Mus musculus: one gene and its partner. The protein of the gene in region 2 interacts with the protein of the main gene of each other region in a pairwise test. Links are inferred from orthologs where the notes say so. Each region holds a gene or a part of one and is shown on either strand. Other genes may lie near its edges.

Region 1 (3,647 bases), on a different chromosome or scaffold from region 2:
AGTGGCAAGGAGCACACAGTGGGTGGCCTCTTCTCAGGTGCTCACCCACATCTGCTTCATGCTCTAGTGTGGAGTGACATGCCAGGGAGATTTGCAATTTGTGGGTTTTGTTCTCTTTTGAAAGACGTATTTGTTTTTTTTTATGTACGTGAGTACACTGTCAGTCTCTTCAGACACACCAGAAGAGGGCATCAGATCTCATTACAAATGGTTGTGAGCCACCATGTGGCTGCTGGGAATTGAACTCAGGATCTCTGGAAGAGCAAACAGTGTTCTTAACTGCTGAGCCATCTCTACAGCCCTTGTTTTGTTTGGTTTTTGTTTTCTCGCTATGTAGACCCGGATGGACTGAAACTCACTCTGCAGACCAGGCTGCCTCACACTCAGCCCAACTGTGCCTCAAATAACATGTTTAAAGGCATGCACCACCATGCCTGGCCTCACGTCTTTATAAAAATTGCAAAACAAAGGTAAACAGGCTTAAGCCCAAGAGGCCTGGGGCCAGCCGCACTCACCCTGGCTTGTGCACGATGTCTCTCAGCACTCGTACAGCATCGTCGTTGCTCATGTTCTCAAAGTTCATATCATTTACCTGAAGGGAAGGGGTGGTGGGTCATGGGCAGTGTGGGAGGGGCAGAGCATCCGCCCCAGCCAGCAGCCAGGCCGTCAGCGCACCTGCAAAAGCATGTCTCCAGGCTCGATCCGCCCGTCCGCAGCCACCGCGCCCCCTTTCATGATGGAGCCGATGTAGATGCCCCCATCACCACGCTCGTTACTTTGGCCCACAATGGAGATGCCCAGGAAGTTGTACTTCTCTGTGGAGGGGGGCCATATGACTGAGCCCCAGAAACCCCAAGCCCCTCTCTCTCCTTCCCTTCTCCCCGTCAGGACCCTCCATACCCATGTTGAGCGTGACCGTGATGATGTTGAGAGACATTGTGGAATCGGTGACACTGCTGAAGGATGAGGTCTACAGCGGGGAGACATGAAAGGTGTGAACTGCTCCCCGTCAACAGAGAGAGAAGCCACAAGCTTGTGTTTCAACCAGAGCCCACTTCATCCCAAAAGAACCCTCACCCTCTCCATGCGTGGCGGCCGCTGCTTCCTTCGCCTTCGGTGGCGCTTGAGGAGGCGGGAGGCACTGCTCTGCTCAGTGGAGCTGCTGAACCTGATAGCAATTGAGAAGCATAGCATTTGGAGGTGGAAGTGGTCAGGGAGCCACATGAAACAAGAAGACTGGCTGGGGGGGAGGGGGAGGGGAGGAGGGGGGAGGAGGGAGGGAACAGGGAGGGAAGTGTGCAGCCATACCTACTCATGGTGTCATCCTCATCCGAGTCTCCTAGGCTGGTACTCTCCAGCTCACTGGTCATGAGGGTGGAAGAGCTCTCGTAGCCAGCCAGGTGGCGCTCCAGCCTCGAGGGGCCACCAGGCCTGTGGCCACCAGCTGTGTATAAACAAGAGACTCAGGAGCCAGGCCTCCCCTTCTTCATACCCAGCATGCTAAGGCTTGCCTGTCTGCCCAGCTCAGTCTACCCTGCCTCCAGGGTCCATCCCCTCACCGCCATGTTCACTGCTGTCTCTCCTCCTAGGTCGGTCTCGCCTCAGTGATACGACAGATTCGGTCTCTGTCTCAGGCTCTAGATTTTCATGGCTGCTGGATACATTAGGGCTACACAGGTAGAGAGAGTTTCCAACCAAAGTCAGTCGGACAGAGCACCGGAACCTCAGTCCCCCTCTCTCAAGAGGTCTAGACTGAATTCCCTCTTCGCTCCCATCCCCTGGACTCAAGAATATAAAGGACTCACTGGAAGGATGGAGGCCTTGAGTCCCCAATTCCACTGGTCCTTTCTGGTGGCAAAGGGGGTAAGGGTGGAGGCGGAGGAACCAGTTCTGTCCGAGACTCATGGGCTGGGGGAGCCACCTCAGGCTGTGGGGTATCTGACGACACAAGCTAGAAGAGAGCACGTAAGAAAACATGGTTCTGCTGGGGAGCGGTGTACGAGAAGAAACTAAGGAAAAGGACCAGAAAAGAAGGACACAGGGTCCTGGAGACCTGGGTGAAGAGGCCAGAAAAAACAATCCAGTACGGGAGGCTATAGGAAGAGGAGGCCGAGGAGTGCTCACTGTATCCACATTAGAGAAGAGGGAAGCCAGGCCACCCGCGACTGAGCAGGGGGGAGGCTGCAGAGACAGACTGAGGTTGGAAGCAGCTCAGTAATGAGTCCCCTTACCCAGGAGACAACCCTTCCATTGAAGCAAGGTAGGCGGGCATTGTCATCGGAGATCTCTTCCTTCACCACCCTGCGGAGAGAGCAGAGTGATTAGTAAGGTGCCAGGTGTGATGGGGTACACCTTCAACTAACACTTGGGAGGCCGAGGCAAGAGGCACTCAGTGAGCAAGGGTTTCTCTTGCGCGCACACACACACACACCACACACACACACACACCCTAGATGGGCGGTGGTGGTGCATGCCTTTAATGCCAGCACTCTGGAAAGCAGAGGCAGGTGATCTGAGTTTGAGGCCAGCCTAGTTTACAGAGAGAACCAGGACAGCCAGGGCTCCACAGAGAAACCCCATCTGGGGGTGGGGGTGGGACAAACACGGGGATGGGGGAGATTAGTAAAGCTAAACTAGTCACTCCCATTCCAAATCTCATTCCAAGTCTCTCCCCATCTCCATCCTGCCCAAGCATGGTGACTTGCTGCCCTGACTGACACGTCGTCTGCTTTTCCCCTAATGTATATGTACATGTCTGTGTGCATGGCTGTCACATGAGGGTATTTGCAGAGGACAGGAGAATATTATCTCCCCTGGAGCTAGTTACAGGGAGTCAGGAGCCACCAGTGGGTGCTAGTGCTAAGAACAGAACACAGCGGCATCCTCTAAGCCAACTGTCTATAGACTTCTGCCCTTTTTTTTTTCAGCAGCGGTAGCGACGACCAGGCTGGCTTCAAACTCACAGAGAGCTGCCTAACTCTGCCTCTCCATCCTGGTATTAAAGGCATATGTCACCAAACTTGGCTATGCCACTCAGCCAGCATGCATCACCATGCCCAGCTCCTCTGCTTTCACAGTGAAGTAACTTGCTTTTATACACAAATAAATAAATAAAAATTCTAGACTCTCTCATTTACCACTACCCCAACTCATCCTTAGAGGCACAATGCCACTCCAAAGACTTCTTCCCATTTGATCCAAACCTCAAAGTACCACTCCAAAGTCCCTTTGGGACAGTTCCCACAACTGCTCCAAATATCTAATTTAAGAGCCTGGCTGGCCGCCTAACCATCTCTGTCCTACACATCTGTCCCATAAAAGCCTCTGGTCCTCACGGAACCTGCTGCCTTTGAGTTCTCTCTAATTCACAAGCAGAGCCACCCAAATGTGTGGCTTTTCTGGGTAAAAAATCACCCTTACATGCAACAATAACAGTCCACGTGTGGAACGCTCCCATGGAGCGAGGAAGCTGGGCTTCCCAATTCCGGGCCACCTCACCTCACTAAGCAATCTGCTCGGTCTGAAAAATCCCAAAGCCCAGCCTCCCACAGGTTCCTGTAGTGGACTAGACCTGTTCCTTCCTTCTCATACCCACAAGAAATCATTAGTACCTATTAGATTCAACACATGTCCTGGGTGTGTGGCAC
Region 2 (3,083 bases):
TGCTTGGCCCTGTCTAGGACAGCCAGGAAGATCTTTGTGGGCTGCTGGTGACGCCTCACCTCACTTCCTGTGTTTCTCAGAGCACCTCCCAGCAGCCACACAGCTCTTGCGCAGTTGCTCCCACAGTCTCTGCTCTCCTCACACCTCATCATGGCTAATGCTATCACTAGGCAATTACCACAAAGACCAGCACAGTCCCCTCCACCCCAATGAGGCAGATACCCATTAATGAGGTGAACAAAGCAGGTGAACTGGATGGATTATCGTGGCAGCCAAAAACCAGAAATGAACCCCAAACCCACCCAAGCCAGGTCTGCCTGCTTTTCTCACTGACTGTATTCCTAAGGTGTTTCCATCTCACACACCCTACCTGCTTGTGAGTACTGGGACTGAAGAGCCACCTTAGGTTCTTACCCACTTGGTCAGAGAAGGGAAAAGGGAGAATGTTTTTCTCTTGGACTCTTGGACCCTAGACAGAGGCAGTGGCCTCATTTGGTACTCCCACTGCCCACCTGTCTACTCCCAGGACCTACACAGATCCCTGTGTCCCCAGAAATCCTGAAGCCAGCTGAGTCTCCACTGAGAGAATTGTGATGAAATCACTTTAATGTCCTAAGGAGACACCCCAAGACACTGGTAGGTGGGCTTGGTGGGCAGATAAGTGTTCAAAATCAGCCCTGATGTCCCACCTCTACTCAGCAGTGTTCACACTCTAGGCTGACAAGGCTAATTAAGGGGCATCCTAAGAAGGGGCTGGTTCCTCTTCCAGGTGCTGTTTAGGCATCAGGGTGACAGCTGTCTTTCTGCCAAGGCAGTTTGGAGCTGGGTCCCAGGGCTCTATCCACAATACAGGCAGGGCCGCTAGAACTCTGTCATCTTCCTGTGAGTGTCTGCCTTCCGCTGTTTCCTCTGTAGGTCAGCCTCCTGAGCACGCAGCTGACCCAGCTGCCGCTGGGCTCCCTCCAGCTTCTCCTGCAGATGGGCTGTCGTCATATTGTGCCTAGGGAGAGCCTGCTGGTCAGCATTGCCTCCTGGCTCCCCACTTCCAAGCCCTCAGCTGCTATAGCCAATGCCTGTCCTCTAATATCTAGACCACCTCAGACTCAGCTGCTACTCAGGTCAGGTAACCTTTAGCAGGTATCCTCTGGGCATAGCCACTGGAGCCCATACTGCCTCAGCTGGATCCCACACATACCGGCCAGTGTTCCGGGTTAGGGCCTCCTGGATGCCCCGGATGTCCCGTTGGGTCCGCTCAATCTTCTCCTCAGTCTGGAAGAGCTGCAGGCTCAAAGCCTGCTTGGCGCTCTTGCTGGCGTGATACATGTCTTTGTTCCTTCTCTCTGGGGTATCCACCCCAGCATCTGGGGTCCCAGGAACCTGGCTTTGCAGTTTTTCATTCAAAAAGTCAAACACATTCCGGGGGGGTGGGCGGCCCTCAGGTCTACTACCACTCCTCCGGCATTTTGGAGGCCTGTTGGACCCAGCCTGGCCTCGCTTTGTCTTCTTCTGCAGTATCTCTGCACACTGGTCCAGTGATTTCCCTCTAGGCAACACTACAGCATGGATGGGCTCCACCCGGCCTTCTGCATGCCGGCCCAAACCTGAGAAAGACAGAGGCTGTGCTACCTGCTAGACCTTGAGCTGTGTTAAGGACTCCCTCTCAACTCAGGGCAGCAGGCACTCACCCTTGCCAAACTCATAGCCCATCTTGACGAGGAGTTTGGAGCCAATGCCCCGTGTGTGTACCTCCCAGCCAGCAAAGGCAGAACTGCAGGTCCCAGTGTCCACCGTGCTTGGTTCCACCACTGCAGGAGACAGAGGATTCCAAGTTGTGGGCTCCAGCCAAGGTTACCCAAGAACTTAGTTCCTGTGTAGGGCCTGATCTCCTGGACTTGAGGTCCCCTCAAGTTCCCCAAGCATGCTGTGCACACTCCTGACAACTCTGTCTTTAGAGATGGCTGTATTGTAACCAATTTCCCTGCTTTAGCTTACTATCTGCCACCAATGACCAGAGCCCAGAAACCACCAATTCACATCACAGGTTCCCAGAAACATCTTCCTATCTTTATCCTAACCAACCCCTCAGGAAGACTATACGTTACCTACTAGTTCATTTCCTGAAACCTCTATCTCACCTGGATACATTTTCCGTTTGCCAAAATCTCTTCTGCCCTACCCACCAAGCATCCAAGCTCTAAATCTGGGAAGTCATCTGAAGAACCCACCCTTTCCTACATCTTACACTCAGTTACTTCCTGTGACTCCTTGGCAGATCTAGCAACAGCATTCTCGTCTCTCTACAGTGTGGTGCCACTTTGCTTCAGGGAATTCTGACTGTTGCATGCAATTGCTTTGTCTCTTTCTTAAAGGCCAGCCAGGCCAGCACACACGCTCGGGTCCCTCAGGTCCTCACCAACCTGCTCTATTCCCTCACCACTCTGGCTTCTAAGCACTCATTTTTGCCATACCTCTGGCATAGCTGGAGTCACTTGCATCACCAGTGTCTGAGTCAGATGACTCTGTAGCCTCAGTGCGCAGAGGAGGCAGGATGCTGTCCCCCTCCACTACAGCCTCCTTCAGCAGCAATGAGTCAAACTTAACGGTATAGTAGCCATTGTCCACATCTAGGGTGACAGAGACAGGCTGTAGGTCAGCAGTTTTTACAGGTTAGGCAACCAGTTAGGAGCAAAGTGGGAAACAGGAAGGGAAGGGGCTTGGGACAAAGGCAGACCTGCTCATCTTGGGCCAAGATGAAGTCCCAGAGCCCAACCCAGAGGAGGTGGAGAATGGCTGTATGAAGAACAAAGAGGGTGTTTTGAAAAGGGTCCCACCAAATAGGTCCTTGTTGGCAGTCTCACCAGTGATCCGTGCTGGGTGCCACAGGCCATCCTGGTGCTTGGCCAGACATGCAGAGCCAGTCTGCAGTAAGCTTAAGTCTGGATCCTGAAAGGGACGCAGCTCATCCACAGATACCACCTGCCCATGGGAGAACCTAGATACAAGCACAGAAGACAGAGGCTTAGACATGGCCCACCAGGAGCAAGTAAGACCAAGAGCACAAAGGCCATCGCCAGGACACTGCC

The links.
Region 1: the proteins of Zgpat (region 2) and Dvl2 interact in a two-hybrid assay, tested with the Homo sapiens proteins (2 studies listed by BioGRID and IntAct). The two-hybrid records come from large-scale screens. The link is inferred for Mus musculus from reciprocal best matches to the Homo sapiens genes ZGPAT and DVL2.

What each region holds. Positions count from the first base shown.
Region 1 is NC_000077.6:70,003,459-70,007,105, reverse strand, and holds part of Dvl2 (segment polarity protein dishevelled homolog DVL-2), read right to left. Parts: intron 2,302-3,647; coding exon 2,232-2,301; intron 1,952-2,231; coding exon 1,806-1,951; intron 1,670-1,805; coding exon 1,560-1,669; intron 1,445-1,559; coding exon 1,309-1,444; intron 1,169-1,308; coding exon 1,078-1,168; intron 971-1,077; coding exon 901-970; intron 816-900; coding exon 676-815; intron 593-675; coding exon 516-592; intron 1-515.
Region 2 is NC_000068.7:181,378,292-181,381,374, reverse strand, and holds the end of Zgpat (zinc finger CCCH-type with G patch domain-containing protein), read right to left. Parts: intron 2,993-3,083; coding exon 2,859-2,992; intron 2,625-2,858; coding exon 2,469-2,624; intron 1,806-2,468; coding exon 1,686-1,805; intron 1,602-1,685; coding exon 1,196-1,601; intron 1,001-1,195; coding exon 862-1,000; 3' UTR 582-861; downstream 1-581. UniProt on the Homo sapiens protein: Transcription repressor that specifically binds the 5'-GGAG[GA]A[GA]A-3' consensus sequence. Represses transcription by recruiting the chromatin multiprotein complex NuRD to target promoters.